3 linked regions of the Drosophila melanogaster genome follow. The protein of the gene in region 1 interacts with the protein of each later gene in a pairwise test. Each region holds a gene or a part of one and is shown in the gene's direction. Other genes may lie near its edges. The genes, in order: CG7991, bowl and maca.

Region 1 (5,819 bases):
CGGTTCTCCGCGTTTTGTCCGTTCCCGAGAGCAGTTCGTCGTACTTCCGGTTGTCCTCCATCACCTGGCGACCCTCCTCCGTGTCCGCCAAGGCGGTCATGCTGCGCCGTTCGAATAGCACCACGATGGGAGTCTTTCGGAGCAGCACCTTGATGAAGGGCGTGGCTGGAGGACGGGCGGAGTGGGCGGAGCGGGCGGAGGAAGCAGGCTCCTTCAGATAATTCGGTTCCTCCAGAGTGGGCGACATGGGCGTGTCCAGCTGCAGCTTGTAAAGATTGATCTGGCGAATAAACATACTGTATGGCTTGATTTCTTTGGACATTAAGGATGATAGGCACTCACCCCCAAGGCAATGTCATCCAAGGAAGCTCTCATCACGCACTTCGTTCGGTACTCCGGCGTACGGAGCTTATGGAGTTGCTGCTGCTCCGCTCCGGGCTCCTTCATCAGCGGATGGTCCCTAATCATCCTGCTCAGTTGCTCGAAGTCCGCGGTGCGGTAATCCTTCCTCAAAGGTCGCGACATCCTTCTCAATTAATTTGAATGAGCGCGTGCCGCCGATTTCCCAACTTGTTTACTGCGTGTGCAGACATGGCAACGCAACAATGGTGGATACAATATATGGGTGCCATAACTACCAAGTGCTGTAGTTGCACTCCGATTGCAACACGGAATTCCATTAGCAGGCTCACACATGACTGCACTCATTGCGTCCATAAATATTTATAACTCACATTTAAATCGCGCAACAAAAGTGCATAATAAGTGGGTTGGTAAGCAAAAACGTATATTTAAATATGAATGTAGTTCCAGTTGTGCAATGAAGATGAAGCCACCATAGTCTAACATCAATTTGGATCATTACCTTTAGTGATTCCAATAATTTGCGCGGCTTTCTGACCTGTCACAAGAAAAATCCCCCAACCGGAGAAAAGCAAAACAAACTATAAACTACAAAATACAAACTACAAACTACCAACAAATGAAATTCGTATTCATATTCCAATTAGACAGTAGAAGAATAGCAGACGGAAAATAGTTAGATGGTATATGGTAAAAAGGTCTTTAATTCCGCCACATAGCCGCATAGGAAATGGGCAAAAGATGGGATGAGGAGGAGCACTTGGCCATGTGGGCGATTGAGAGCAGCAAGCCGTGCAGCACACTGAACGAAAATAAGATCGGGTTAAGAATGAAATATGATTAGGTTAAGTGCTCACAGCAAAGAAATGTATCTACAGAGAAATTATTTCAACATGAATCCCAAACTATAAATATGACAATCTTAATTTGAAGATAGCTTGTAATAATCAAAGCGATTTTCCGTGTATAGAAGATATGGAAGTCGAAAAGAAGTTGTTTATGTTAATTTGGCTTTATGCTTCGCTACGCTGATTCGCTTGATGAACATATAGCAAAAAAGAGGGCTGATTATGAGGACGACGACGACGACGACGACGATGACGATGATGATGAGGGGGCCCAAACCGAGCGAATATGGCCAAGTGCACTATGTCAAACGGAGGGGCACACGGCAAGCGGGCAACTGATGGCCAAGAAGAACAAACCATCAAACCGTCAACGCATCAAAGCGTTAAGTAATAAATGTGCAGGCAGCCAGCGAAAAGAAAGAGTTAAGAGCAAAAAAAAAAAAACAAATCCAAGCGGGCTATAAACAATAGTCGCCTGTCTTGCAGGTTGCGTGCATTTTGAACTCTGCACGAGCCAACGATCGTTGTTGTTGGCCGATTTGGCCAGACTCTTGTTGTTGCTGTTACACATTTTGGGGGCAGCAACAACCACCTACAGTCAGCGAAATTCAGTGAACCGCCACCAACGCGACGCCAACTGCGACGCCGGCGGCGACTGCGCAGTCAGCGCCACACTGAATTACATCTTTGAGGTGTTGAAAAATATTAATAATATTTTAAAATTACACTTTAAGTTTAAGACTCAGTTCTGTGATAGCTTTTTAATGGACTAACCCAGCTTGTAAGCAAGCTGATACCACTGATGTAACTACCTTTTAACTCCAGCCAGTTGTTAGCCATGTTTGTCCAGTGTTTGTGAGATAATTAATAATTTTGTCGCCAGCCCGCAAGAAACGAGTCTGCGGAGTGGACCCTGTTTTGAAAAGTGAAATAAAACGCCACTTTTTACGAACATCTAATTGTGTCCGCACCCTGGAAACCCATAAAACGCGCCATCTCCATCTCGATCCAGCCCATGGGCTGGCTATTAGCCATATGTCGCTCGCATTCAGATCGTCTGGGCTTCTTACACCTGTTTTATGTCCCCACTGGCCCCAATGTGCGACGACTGCCCCTTTCGGAGCGTCGACTGCGCCGCCCGGCGTTTCGGTGTAACACATTTTCAGTTCGTTTCCATTGTGGCAGGGAGCGCGGAAGACCAGCGAGCCAGCGAGCCAGCGCGCCAGACGAGAAGAGCTGGCGGCAGAGCGAGCTCAAGTCGAGCTCGGAGGTTTTTTTTCGAGGCAGCGGAGCGACTTTTTATTCGTTAATTAACCGTCGAGCGGGCCAGAAGTCCGAGTTGCTCGGCTTAACGGAAGTGCTGAAATCGGGCGGCTAATTGAGCACACCTCGCCTCCAGTTGACACCTGAGACACCTGAGGGAAAAAACGAATTGAAACCACTCCACATAGCTCGGGTCATAACTTTCCTCGCTGGCCGGCTGCTAATGTCTCAATTTGTTGTGCGCGTTGGGCAAGTGCAGTTGCCATTCAGCCGTGGCTGTATCTGAAAGATACAATTCGGGAGAGCTCGGTTCCTGAGTGATTCGAAGTTTATGCTAATCAGCTGTGTTGCTCCGCGAGAGGGATCATTTCGCCATAGACCCACACCCGCATAGCCAGTGATCACATAACGAAATAACGAAACCAATCAGCAGACGATCTTATCAGCGCCAAAAGAGGAGGAACACAATGTTGTTTTGGAAGAGGCGTCTTCAGCGATCGAGCAGCTCTTCGAGTAAGTCCCCGTTTCTATATGGCCAAGTTTGTGGGAATGGTGGTAATGGGGGACGGGGGACGGGACCACGCCTCCAACGATTGGGCAACAAGAAATATGATTTCGCCGGGCAGGTGAATTTCGATTTTCGGTCCAGTGACAAGCTCGAATATTTTGGCCTCGACTCATCTGCATAATTTGCATCTTAAGCATTATTTCTGGCTGTGCCCAGCGACTGGTTTATTGATTTTATTTCAGTGCTTCCCTGGCCAAGATCGTAAATTCACCCCGCTGGGCTTCATCACCCACAAAAGACTTGGACAAATACAAATGGGAGCGCGAGCCACGCGGGACATGAATAATAGCTCATATCTGGCCATCGAAATTCTCGCCGAGGTGTTCCCTTTGTGGATGACGATTGCCCAGAGATTTATGAATGGATTTAATGTGTTTAGCATAATTATGCAGATCGCCGTGTAGAAGATAATATCTCACTAGGTTTGGTTTCAAGCGTAAACACTTGGGATGGAAGTGGAAAGATTTGACACATTCACGATCAGTCGGATAAAGATTTGATGGTCTTAAGGGGCTTGGGAAGAATGGGTTTACTAACCAATATGATTATAGTGTGGTCAACACATTGTACCCTAATCCCCCACTTGAATCCCTCTCCTTCCTTTGAAAACCCATGGCCCGCAGTCAGGTGTCATAACAGATTTGTCCCGATGGCCAACAAGGTGGCCAACTGCTATCGAGCATCGCATTGAAAACTGTCCCTTTTCCCCACATTCCTGTGGTTACTCTTCGTCTTCTCCCATCCCATCCCATCTGCTCCATAACTTTCCAACCAAGTGCCGACTATGTGTCTCATTCGCTGTATCTCAGTTCTGAGCTCTCGGGGTTTATTTGGGATCAAAAACATGACTTTGACTTGTGGTAATGTGATGTTAATGACAATCATCAGCAGCGACACAAGCAATAACAACGCAGGCAGAACGAGGAGGAGCAGGAGTAGGAGTAGGTGACATCCACACCACCGCCACATGAAAGCAGTAGTCCCAGTAGTGGGTAGCCCCGCCTCCTGAGCCGCGGAGCACGCCTAACACGATTCCGGAGATCGGACATCTCTGCCAGCGACATTTATTTTATGTGCGTTCCGTTCCCGAAAGTCGTGGCCCATAATCGGCTTACCCAGAGTTCTTGGCTCTACCATACCGCAGTTGACACTTCTGGCTATTTGGTTCGCTTAGTTCGTGCCCGGAGTCTTCTGTTTTTATAGAAGCTGCCCATCAAGTTGCAGGTTTAATGGTCGCTTGTGGCCCAGTGCCGCATCGAAAAATGAGTTCGGCGTTTTGTTGTGACATTTTAATGGCCTGACCGAGCTCCATTCCCCACCGCCGAGATGGTTATCAATATTACAAAATAGTTTTCGGCTTTCGGTGGAAGCGTGCTGGATGGGATTGGAATGGTAAACAGTGTCTGGAGAATTATCTGAAACCTAAGACGATGAGCAAGGTGGAACAATTTAAATTACCATAAATCAAAACCCACAGATATACTGTGTAAGAAGTGTAGAAACATAAGTTCCAATTGAGAGTTTCTCACCGAGTTTAGTCGAGCTCTATTTGGGGCACTCCATTTGCAAGTGGCTTAATTCCCATAAATTCCGTTTGTAGATCTTTCACTTGACCGGACTGCGTCCCCCTTTGAGACCCACTTAGCCCACATCTTTGGGTCAGTCCTACACTTTCCGCGCATTCCACGAGCTCGGACCTCGAAAATTGTCTGCAAATTGCTCATAAATTACATGAAAACCGTCGCAATGCCAAAAGCTGCACCTACACCATCATTATCAGCTTGTAAATAAAAAGACTTTATCAATCGTTAAGCCGCGGGCGCAGACTCGCCATCCGGAGCCCGCGTCCGGGATCCAAGATCTCACCTCATAACATAACATAAAAGTCGTCCGGGTGGAAGGAGATGAGATGAAGATGGAGCGAAGGTGGATGCCCATTCCCATTCCCAATCCCATTCCCATCCTCATTCCAGGGCAAAACCCTGGCTCCGCTGCGGTCAAGTACAAATATTTTTATTTATGATTTTACAGATCAGCATATTGCTCAATAATTTCACCGCACCGGCAACAAAATAACTTTCAAATTACGCCTGCCGAGGATCCTCGCTTAAGTGCGCCAATTTTGAGATTATTATTGCCGGCTGCGTATGCAGATAATCGTGACCCAAAGTGCAGGAGGATGGGGTGCCCATAACTCAGCCGGTTCAGCTGGGAATCGGGAATGAGCTGGAATGATCCTCGACCAGCAAGGACTAGTGGATTGAAGCTGGTCAGCCACCGATTTAATTACTCTATTTGGCTAGTTTTTTGGGGTCGAATTTAGGTTGTCTGCGCTAGTTGGGATCTGGATTTGGATCTGGATGTGGAGTATTTGGGGCAGCTTAATATTTTCCCATAAATTACTCGGGGCCAGGAGAAAATTACTTTAAAATTTATGGCCCCGGCATCTTACACGCTGATTTGGCCCTTTTATTTTCGGCTGGCCGTTTGGTTTCTTTCTCTGGCCATCGAGCATCGAGCACTGGCTGCGAGGATCTGGGAACAGGTCGTGGCGGCGATGCCCCCACCGCAGTGATATCCGCGTTCCGAGGGGGCGGTCCCCTGGAAAGTTCGCACGATTGATGATCGACTGCGAGTCGCAGTTGCCGAGCTCCAGATTCACTGGGCTCCCTGGGCTGCGATGATGACGCCGTCCTGTCACCGCACTGACATCGCTGTTTATGTAATTACCGCCGGCCGCGCAGCGATCACAAAGCTATCCCGATATCCCAGTACCA
Region 2 (5,819 bases), on another chromosome or scaffold:
TGTTCGACACTAGTACGGGTACTACCAACAACACTTAGAACTTAAGCCAAGCAAACCAATTAGTTTTAGGCATAGGCGATTGCATAGTCCAAGGAATTTAGTCGGTCATTCAAATCGGGTTTAAAACTATTTTGAACAAGGCGTACATACACAAATATATACAAATATAGAGGAATACGATAGGACATTTTTGGTGTGTATTCTTGTTATATAGCTTACAACAAATGGCATATATACATACATACATATATATACACATATATATATATATATACAAAACTTATGTTTAGTGAGGTTGTCTTGTCACTTATATACATAGAATATATTTAGCCACACAAAAAATGAGAGAAATGATCGTACAGCAGACCAAATTGATTGTCTAATGTATATAGAATTCGGCTAGGCTAAATCCAAATTCAAATTGCAATGATTAGGTATTCAATGGCTCAAATCCAGGCAAAGGCAAGGCAAATGTTTTTTAGATAAATGTCTATTTACAGAAAGGGTAATAAAATAGTACGAAAATAGCTCAAGCGAGACCAAAATTACAGATTTATCAGAGTGTAACAGTTCGAAAAGTCGTTATCAAAGTCGAAGAAGATTATTCCCATTTTCCATAGCTGCTTCCATCGCATTGAGCACAACAATTTGTGAATAATAAATAACAACGGTTTTCGTCCTTATTGGAAACGATTATTAGTTAGACGCGATTACGATATAGGCCAGGATTAGTTAGCTTTTTGATATGTTGGATTTTTTTTAGGAAACACATTCATTCACAAGCATACACACACACATTACAACGTTCATAGTAGGTCAAACAATAATATAATAGCGATTAATTCGGAATCCAGTAGTTACTTTGTCATATAAAGATATGATCTTTAAAATGCTGATTTCCTGTTTTTTTGGGTCAGTGTTCAAATACCGAGATTGAGTGAGGATGCAACAATTTTGAAGCTTCTTTTCGTTTTTATTAATACGGTAACGAATATATATATATAAATATATATTTTATATATTTTAAATAGAGATTTCCAATTTGGCGAGGCGTAAAAAATTAGATAATAAATCTATGCATTATGATGATTATATGATATATACATAAGAGTCAGCCATTTTATGTTGTTACTCATCGAGTGGAAAACGAGACAGCAAAAACCTAACACAGAAAAAGGAAAAAAGAAAACTAAATAAGAGCTTTAATTATTAAATAAAAAATATACCAAGAACAAATGACAAATGTGCCTCTTGCTGACAGCCCGGGGGCATTGAAATGCATCTAAACATCATTAATTTGGCTCAACGATCCGATTCCCATTGGAACCCGATTCAGATTCGGATATGGTCCCAGGCCCAGCCCAAAAGTATCAAACACACCAGCTACCTGCTGGGGCCAACGAAGCATTTCGAATGCGATCAATGAACCTGTTGCTTTTGGCCCTCTAGCTACAAACTACCAGCTGAACTCCGAGTTGGCCACATGTTTTACACAAATTTCAAGTAATTTATTTTAAAATCGTAAAGCGATGCAAAATATGCAAGGAGGGAAGCCACTTCAACCGACGGGCACTCAGAAAAATCACAACGATCTTATGGTTCGCATTAGCATATATATCTTATTTGTACATCTTTATTTTAAGCAAAAAGAGCAAGGTAAGGGTTAGATATTAGATATTATTATTAAACAATAGTCAATTTCAATTTTATGTATTGTGGAATCCAATTATAAGGGAGACCAATTATGGTAATTATTTATTTTATTTCTTATTTACTTATTGTTATTTATATATGCTGAAAATTATTTTCCGAGTGCAGCAAGAGCAACAGTTGTTGATGGGGGAAGTCGACGACGACTAGCATAACAATTCGCTCGCCCTATGAGGCAGCTACCGTTTTTCCGTCTTCTCTTTTCTACCACTTATTTCTGGTCTTCTGCCTGTTGCCGCTTTGTATCTCCATTTCCACTTACTGTTTTTGCAGTGGCAGCAGCCACAATTTAGTTCCACTGTGCAGCACCTTAATTACATGGCTACGGACTCTCTTTTGTTGGGTACTTTTCGGGTTTTTCTTTTCTGCATCTCGGAATCATTACGACCATGATCACCGTCGTGGCCGAAACGTAACTCCCTCTACTTTTGGGACCCTAGCTGATTTTTGGTCTTTTTGTTAACGTCTTTTCTTTTACCACTTGACCGCATTGATGCTGCATTGCGAGCAGAGGTTGCCAGATTGTTAGAATAGAAATTTTACAGTCTATTATAATAATATAAGACCTATTTACATAGCCTAGCTCGAATCAATCATTTACCTATGTTTTATTTTTTTCCAAGTTCCCGTGCTCGCCTTCTTTTATAAGGACTAATTACCATTAATAAAAGTCAGTCTGGCGATAAGATGGTTTCTAGACTTATATTGTTTTACGACCTATTTCCATAAATGAATTGTATAACTCGGCTGCCGATTAATCATCAGTGTATATTTAAATACATATGTATAAATATTTTTCCCTAAAGCTACCAACTAATTATTCCAAATAAATATTTACTTATCAGTAGAACATTGGAACTTGTCATAATATAGATATATAGTCGTGTGAGTAATGCACTTTATTTCACCCCAACTTTCGACTTGGCAACCCCTTCTTCGAAGAAACCTTATCACCTTGCCTCCCTAAAAATGCTTTCTGATTAGTCATTCCCCTAAATGAAACCGCAACAAAAGCCGAAGAACAAAATACACCCCCACTAAAAAGGCATAACAATAAACAGGGAACTACCAGAGTTACACCCTCCTCCTCCTTTTCGGGTGAAGCCACCATAACGATCCATGGGCAGCAGCAGCAACGGCAATCTGGCAACACCCGGGCCAATTGTACCCTACCCTCTCGACTGGGCCAAAAAAAAAAAAGCAGTCGGTGGTAGTCGGTAGTCGGTCGGTAAACAGGTAGCGCTCTAACTGACAATAACTCGTCGTACGAATGCACGTTCCACGCTCCGCCAGTGCCAGTCTCCATATAAGTCCGTCCACGGGCCCATCCGTCCATTTAGCAGCGTGCGACTGGCGGCCGGTTGGGTTTGGGTTGAGTTCGGTTTAATTCCTCTCCTCCACTGAAAGAAATGTCGTACTATATTCAAACTGAATATAAGTTACTAGTTAATTCAGAAAAATATGTAAATGCATCCATTATTTATCTAGTATATTTAAGCAGATAGATTTATACTGTTGTTATTTACAGAAAATTAGAGCCTTACTCTTCAGATATTTAAGAATTGTTAAAACTTTTTCCACAGTGCACTAAGCTGGTTTTAGTGCCACTGCTCGCTACTCGTCGCTTGTCTCTTTCTACGCATTTCTCAGCCCGCGATTCTCTCGATTCTCTCTTTTTCCATTCGGGCCCTGTTTCTTGGGTTCGTGGCTCAGTCTTCGAGAGTTGATCGTGGCCAACGCACCTGCGCGCGGATCGCTGGTAATAGCTGTTGGAAAAGTGAACTGCATTGTGAGTGCCTCTCGCTCTATATCTATCTGTATCTTTCGCCGCCGATGTATCTTATTGAGCGGGCCCAGAGCGCTAGTGTGTGTGTGTGTGTGAGTGAACTTGTTGCATCGCCAGTTGCCTCGAGAAAAGCGCTTTTCAACTGCAACTGACTCTGTGTGTGGGAAGAGTTTGGGACTACTTGAGGAGCGAATTGGTAGCTGCACTGGCTTCAGCTCCTATTTCAAACAAAATGTAGAAAAACACATTTCAGCTGCCGTGTATCTCTCGTTCTCGTTCGGTTTTCAGTTCGTTGAGGTTGAGGTTTCGGTTCGGGTTTTTCTTCGTTCGGTTTTCATATCTGTGAGATACAAATACATCGTGTGTTTGTGCGCGAGTTGTACGTGGATTTTGGAAGGAAAAAAACTACGTGGTTTGTGGTAGCTGACTGCCGTTGATGCTGCTGCTGCTCCCGTAACCGCCCCCCTGCCGCCCCCTCAGCCCCACCCCCTGGGGCGATCGTGCCGTGATTTGAATCTCAAAATTGTCCCTTAGTGTGCGTGTTTTTTTAAATACATTTACTTGAGAATGATTCGGTGAAATACTTGTTAAAATTAAAATCAAACCTGAAAATATAACAAAAAATTTCCGACAAATATTTTGAAAATTTTAATAAAATTATTTACTTTTAAATTCACAGAATCGTATTAACAGAAGTCTTCAAACAAATACAACAAGAAAAAACAACATACAATTCAAGTGCCACTTAAATGATATAAATTACTACTTTAAAAACCAAAAACAATGCCAAGCATTTCAAAGCTTACAAACTGACAAAAAACCAGCAAAATCATATTGAAACAACTACTTGGATACTTTAGGACGCAAAGATAAAGCCCAAAGAGCCTGGGGCTTTCTTCTGTTTAACCCACAGGTAAGATTCCGCCGAGAACAGGCCCTGCCTTCCCAGATGAACACAAAAATTCCACACCACTTATTTTTACTTGTTTTATTTTTTGTTGTTTTTTTTTTTGTTTTCTGTTTGTGGCGTAGGGCTAGCTAATTACGTTTATTATTTTTTTATTTTGGTATTTTTTGCGTTGGCCAAAAAGGCAGCGAGTACAAAAATATAACGAGTACGCAGACAGAGAAGGAGAGAGAGAGAAAGACCCAAGATATATCTCAAAACCTGCTCCACAAATAGAATGAGACGGGGCGAAAAAACAGGAAAGAGAGCGCAACAACGTTGGCGGTTGGCGGACTGTCGACCGACAAGCGGCTTCCACTACAACTGCATGTGCCACTGTCATTGCCACTGAACTCAGTGTGGTGCCGCACAGTCCACGGTGGAGTACGTCCCCCATCCCCCCGCAAACTTCCCCACCATCCTGAACCACCCGCTTGCCCCATTGTTGTTGCTGTGGCGCTCAGTTCGAGTTGGTCGGTTCGAGCCGGACTCGAAAAACCTTCGCTTGGAATTCTGGGGGTCTCTTATGGGTGCTCTTGGTAAGGGTACTTCGTTTGAAAATGGTGTACACAATTTGTAAAATATTATTTAAAAATATTAATCGGTGTTAATAACGTTACATTTCTGAAAAACTTTAATTTTACAGAATTTCAAAGCATCGCGTTAGGTTTTAAAAATATATTTTACGAAATTTAGGCAAACTTAGTTTAATAAGCTGATAGTTTATAAGCTTCTTATTTATTCCAGTGTTTTTTTTTCAACAAGTCTACTCTAGTTTGATCTATAGTATTATTTACTTATTTTGCCTAGGGTATTAAGTGCATCGGCTTTATAGATCGTGATTTTTCACATGTTTCTTTCATTTCTGTTTCTTTTCTTTGTAAACCAGTTCACTTGTAGCCAGTGCCAGTGGCCAGTGGTCGCTCTCGCCGTCTTTTTCGCTCCTTCTCGGCTTGGAATCCGGTTTTTTTGGTTTTCTGTTTTCGGTTTTCGGTCGTGGTCGCTGTCTTAACTTGGCTCGATTCAGATTCGGAGCTCGGCTGGGGCTTTAATTGTCCAGAACGTGTGGCCAAAGAGGAAACGCAATTGCCGCAAGCTTCTGTTGGGTTCAGATACCGATTCGGATTCGGATTCAGCCTCAACCTCAGACCATCATCATCATCGTCATCTACATCTCTTGATTTCTTTTAAATGCTTTACTTTTTCCTTCATTTTTAAGCTTTTTTTTTGTAGAACGCCTCCCGCGCTCTCACAGTCTGAGTTATTATTATTTTTTTTTTGTATTTTTTGGTTGCGGTTCTATAAAGTTATTGGCTTTTGTTTCGCCTCAGTGGAGATCTATTTTGGATATTCATTGTCTTGCTTTATGGGCCATTT
Region 3 (5,738 bases), on another chromosome or scaffold:
GACCTGATTACCTTTGTGGCCGGCGAATCCAATCCCAAGCAGTTCCTGCACATACCCGAAGACGAAATCGAGCTGATCTTGCAGAATATTCGTGAACAGAACCTTAAATTCTGCTTAGCTTTCGGAATTGGTCTACATCACGCCGGTTTGCAGGAACAGGATCGAAAGTGTGTTGAGGAGCTGTTCCTCAATAGGAAGATCCAGATCCTGGTGGCCACAGCCACACTGGCGTGGGGCGTTAATTTGCCAGCTCATCTGGTGGTGATCAAAGGTACCGAATACTTTGACGGGAAGGTGAAGAAGTACGTGGACATGCCCATTACCGACGTGCTTCAAATGATGGGACGAGCCGGACGGCCGCAGTTCGACAATGAAGGTGTGGCCGTCGTTCTGGTGCACGACGAAAAGAAGAATTTCTACAAAAAGTTTCTGTACGATCCATTCCCGGTAGAGTCCAGTCTGCTGGGAGTGCTACCGGAGCACATAAACGCTGAAATCGTTGCTGGAACTGTTCAGTCAAAGCAGGCCGCTCTGGATTATCTTACGTGGACGTACTTCTTCAGGAGATTGCTCCGAAACCCGTCGTATTACCAACTGCAGGACATAGAACCGGAGAATGTAAATAACTTTATGTCCAATCTGGTTGAGCGCGTGGTCTATGAGCTTTCTGCCGCTGCCTGTCTGGTGGAGCGCGATGGATGTCTGATACCAACATTCTTGGGGCGAATCAGTTCCTATTACTACCTGTCGTACCGCACAATGAAGCATTTCCTGGAGGATTTGCAGCCTGGCATGAACACCAAGAAAGTTCTCCTCGCCATAGCCGATTCCTATGAATTTGATCAGCTGCCTGTTCGGCACAACGAGGATAAGCACAATGAGGAAATGGCTGAAGTAAGCCGCTTTAGACCGCCCTCATCGTCTTGGGATTCTTCGTACACCAAGACTTTCCTGCTACTCCAGGCCCACTTTGCACGGCAGTCCCTTCCGAATTCGGATTACCTAACAGACACAAAGTCGGCTCTGGACAACGCCACTCGAGTGATGCAAGCCATGGTGGACTACACAGCGGAGCGGGGATGGCTCTCGACGACTCTGGTTGTGCAGCAACTGATGCAGAGCGTCATTCAGGCCCGATGGTTCGACGGTAGTGAGTTCCTAACGTTGCCAGGAGTGAACGAGGACAATCTCGATGCCTTTTTGAACATACCACACGATGACTATGACTACTTAACACTACCCGTGCTGAAGGAGCTGTGCAAACAAGAGTACGAAGTACTGGCGAAGCCACTGCGAGATGCCTTCGAGGAGCACGAGATCGAAAAGATGTATAAGGTACGATTCGAATTAACCAAATTGCTGAACGATATTCAAATGGTACTTTAAACATTTCCAGGTAATCCAAGACTTGCCCGAGATAGCAATTCAAATATTCGTAGAGGGTCGGCATATGGAGAATGAGTATGCCAAGCGACCGCTCTCACTTTCTGATGACACGAGGGGCGAATGGATGTCCCTGCATGCCAATGAGGACTACGTTCTCATAGTAAACTTGCAGCGGCTTAATGTCAGTGGACAGCGAAGAGGTGGTGGACAAAGCTACACGGTGCACTGCCCCAAGTATCCAAAGCCCAAGAATGAAGCGTGGTTCCTGACCCTGGGCTCCCAGGCCAACGACGAGCTCCTCGCCATGAAGCGTGTATCCATTCGCGGACAGCGCTGCACCAACCGCATTTCGTTCCAGGCAACTCCGCGACTTGGACGTCTACAGCTTACGCTTTATTTAATGTCCGACTGCCTTATGGGCTTTGACCAGCAGTACGACCTGCAATTCGAGATCATTGATGCAAAAGAAGTCTAAGGGCCCTACTAGAGATTAAATCTAAAGTGTACCGTAGCATTCTGTAGAGTTGAGGCTTAACTTTTAGTTAATGGAGTTCATATCGCCTATGAACGTTTTCCACAATCACTGTTATCACCTAGAGTTCGTAGTAAAACTGAACTTGCGTATTTATTGTGTGATCCTCCAAGACATGTATAACATTTTTATCATTAGTAACTTGCTTCGAGACGAAGCTCCTTTGTTAGCCAACCATGTAGCACCTACATGCATGAATCACTTTCTATGAATTTATGAAGTAACTATTTTTATTGTGTAAAGTTAATAAAATTTGTATTGAAAGCGCAGCTATGTTTTTCAATTTAATTTTTTTATGTGATCAATATAAATACCACTTAGCCATCCATAACTATCGACATGTTAACTACATTTATTCTACGTGGCACAGTGGCGGCACCTAACGTTCACTTGTATAATGAAGAAAATAGTTCATGGTGCGTGTCAAAAAGGAAACGTACCAAGAGACAGCATTAAATAAAACTTTTATTAGTATTAATTGATTTATATAATTCTAAGTTGGGTGATGACAAAGTAAGCTAAGAAAGTTAAGAATGATAAAATAAAAAAATAAAACAGGTTAAACAGCTTTAAGCCTATATGCATAGTAATAATTAGTTGTTAAGACCGAAATAGGCTTTTTAAATAGTCCCAATATTCCAGTCAGAAACGTTTTTCGCTGTGAAAATATGTAAACGACCCACCTCATCCGAATGTATTTCTACGTGCGCCGTCTTTTAATGGCGGGTTTTATCCGAGTCCTGACCATTTCTGGACGCTTCTGCACTCCTGCCCTTCTGCCCCACACATGGCGCTGAGAAATGAAAGCATATTCAAGTGATTAATGCAGATGGCCACCACATCGGGCAAATGCGGATCCGCTGGTCCCCGGGGAGTCGCCGACTAGGATAAGGAGCTGGCCTCCTCCCACAGCAGTCGAGTAATTAAACTTGATTAATTGTCTAGTCAGCATGAAGGTAAAAATCGGCGTAGCCAAGATAAACGAAACGGAAATGGAAATTAATTAATATGAGGCTAAGTAAAACAAAAAGAAATAATGAACAAGTTTACTTTGGCAATAAACAAAGGAACATTCAATGATCCAATCGATGGGCCTCGAGTGCCATGTCGGTTCCCCAAATCGCACAATACTCGTATCCAATTTAATTTTCACCTGCACACTTTTTACATTCCTCTGTGCAGTGCTCCACCTTCGAATCGCAATGTCGAAATTCCATAATCAGCAAACAAATAAATAAACAGCTGGAAAACTTTTCAAAAACTTTTGCACCTTGTGCACATAAAGGGTTTCATTTTGTCTTGGCACGCAAACTTCTCAGCCAAATCAGCGATTTCGCAAGGCGGAATTTATTTAATTTGCATACGTATTTATGTGTTAAATAGTTCTTTAATGCAGATGAAGTTTTATTGTATTTATTCAAATAGAATTTAAGTTAAGTTCAATTCAAGGCAGCCAACTCTTGACACCACGTAAGTTGACAAAAGTATAAATGTATTAGTGTTGGTAAATAACCAAGTAATTGTTGACCAAAGCTATCCTGTTTGTCATGGAAGTCATTGTCAAACACATTCTGAAAAAAAACTTTTAACATTTGGAAGGGCAGCTTTGCAGTATTTTTAGAATTTTCAGTCAATTTGGGATATTATAATCATTCTAAAATTTTCTACGCCAAGTGTTTCATTTGGATCCCATTCCGAAGAAAGCATAAGATCTCTGCGGTCATCTTTCACCTTTGCTTCTATCTATAGCGCAGAGAAAATGACCAAGAAGGAGTCATCCGTCCCGACGCTATGTTGGGGATACGCCGGGATACGCGGCATGTTCCAAACTGGAAGACCAGTGGATCCGCCCCCTCCTCTCCCTAATTTGCGGATGAAGACGAACCTGATCCTCAACTACCTTCCGCAGGACATGACGGAGTCTGAGCTGCACCGTCTCTTCTCCAAGTTCGGTGAGATCCGCAAGGCCAAGATCATCCGCCACCGCAGGACTGGCATAAGCTGTTGCTACGGATTCGTCGACTACGTGTCGGAACGCCAGGCGGCTGCTGCCGTGAATGGCATGGATGGCTACGAGACTCGCGGCAAGCGACTGAAAGTGGCCTTCGCCCGACCTTCGGAATATGAAAGCACCAGCTCCAGCCTGTACGTGGGGAACCTGCCCACGTACATGGATGAGAAGAAGGTACGAGAACTCTTCGCCACCTACGGCAACATCGTGGATGTGAACTTGCTGCGCCACAAGTTCAACAATAGGTCCCGTGGCGTGGCCTTCTTGCAATTTGAGTTGGTCCGCGACGCCGAGGTGGCCAAGTACGGCATGGATCGGTACATGATCGAAGGCGCCTCCCGGCCCCTGACGGTCAAGTTCGTGGAGCGCGAGAAAAAAGGCTCGAGTTCTACCTCCAGTGGCTCCCAGTATAAGGACAAGCGTAAATCTTCCCCACCACCCTACAAGCGTCGCGAGAGGACGAACGATCATCATGTGTCTAAGCGTTCTCGAGATTCGGACTAATCATTATGCGTATTTTTGATAGAACTTGCTGATTAATTTGATTAATATATATATAGAACCTGTAAGGAACACCTTTTTTTAAACCTCAGCTGAAGAACAAATTGTGATTTTGCACTTTTGTCGTATACTCAATTTCCTTTAGGTAGTCCGGTCCAATTAATTTTGGTCTTAACGCATTCGTTCGGTTATGCATTTGGCTGCCCTCTGATTTTGGCCTTACATAAATAATTCATTAAATTGCCGCAGGAGCTGGGCTTATCGTTCGCAAACAAGCCACTCCTACGGACATGAGATCCTCGGCTCCTAAAAAGCATTAACAGCTTTATCAGTCGCCTGGTAACCTCGATTTAGCCAGGGGCCACCAGTTGGCCAAAAAAGGTGCGGAGCGTCCGATTCGGTTTCGGTTTCGGGTTTTGATTTCGATTGCGGGATGCATGCAAAGGATTGGCGGTTCAAATAAATAATGAAAACAAAGGGCGCATAAATATTTGAAGATCGCAAACCGAATGAACCGAAACGACTTACGAAAGTAGGTGGGAAACAAGTGAATTGAAAATTATTTCCAATTCGTTTGCTTTTCTCATTATAATTGAGGCGCAAAGTTGCCCCTGCATCTCGGAATCGGTATCTCCTCCTCCGGTTACCCAGCTGGTATCCCCTTCGACTGCTGCTCTTGTTTCAGTCTCTGGTTCCAGTTCAGATTTAACTTACAGATTTTGCTTTACAAGGACCCTTCATGCACGACTGTGGTATGCACTTTTGACGGTCACAGTTTAAATGAAGTTACATAAACTCTGGGTTGGATTCGGCAATAAAATATGGAGGATTTTGCCAATAACTACATTTTTATATAGGGTTGTATGGGTTGTGTTGCTCTTTTGAATTAATGTGCCTCCTGGACTTCCTATTTTGCATAAAAGCACGCTTAATACATAAAATTTTAAAGAAAATCAGTTGTTTAAAGCTTAGAGAAAATCGTTCGCTTTGTAAAAACTAGAATTTTATGAAAAATGTGTGTATATACCCAAACAACAAAGCATAATGAAACCTAAAAATGAGAACAATTGAGTTCCAGTCTCATCTTGTGTTGGAAATGCAAATCAAATTTTCACATCCCTTTTGTTTACAGTTTTCATTTCATTTTTCTTGGAACAGTTGAGTTCTTCCCTAGTTGCGTTAGGAAAAAAAAGGAGGAGACCTCCAAGAAAAAGGGCTGCAGCCTCTTGATAAGCAGATTATACGCTTTTCATCATTTTCATTCCTTTTTTTTACTTGGCGTTCTGGCTGCGAGTGTTTCGGGGATTT

Evidence for each region.
Region 2: the proteins of CG7991 (region 1) and bowl interact in a two-hybrid assay, tested with the Drosophila melanogaster proteins (one large-scale study listed by BioGRID).
Region 3: the proteins of CG7991 (region 1) and maca interact in a two-hybrid assay, tested with the Drosophila melanogaster proteins (one large-scale study listed by BioGRID).

The regions. Positions count from the first base shown.
Region 1 is NT_037436.4:1,672,181-1,677,999, forward strand, and holds the start of CG7991 (uncharacterized protein), read left to right. Parts: upstream 1-2,528; 5' UTR 2,529-2,941; coding exon 2,942-2,987; intron 2,988-5,819. Other genes in the region: CG13930 (uncharacterized protein), read right to left, coding at 1-280, 343-525.
Region 2 is NT_033779.5:3,768,286-3,774,104, forward strand, and holds the start of bowl (brother of odd with entrails limited), read left to right. Parts: upstream 1-3,414; 5' UTR 3,415-3,588; intron 3,589-3,634; exon of another isoform or gene 3,635-3,730; intron 3,731-3,740; exon of another isoform or gene 3,741-4,031; intron 4,032-4,175; 5' UTR 4,176-4,409; intron 4,410-5,819. UniProt on the Drosophila melanogaster protein: Putative transcription factor. Required for leg joint formation, acting downstream of Notch to pattern the leg tarsal segments. Functions in the terminal pathway during embryogenesis, acting downstream of tll in the posterior of the embryo.
Region 3 is NT_033777.3:15,491,125-15,496,862, forward strand, and holds maca (maca), read left to right. Parts: upstream 1-3,477; 5' UTR 3,478-3,677; coding exon 3,678-4,433; 3' UTR 4,434-4,496; downstream 4,497-5,738. Other genes in the region: obe (obelus), read left to right, coding at 1-1,335, 1,397-1,861.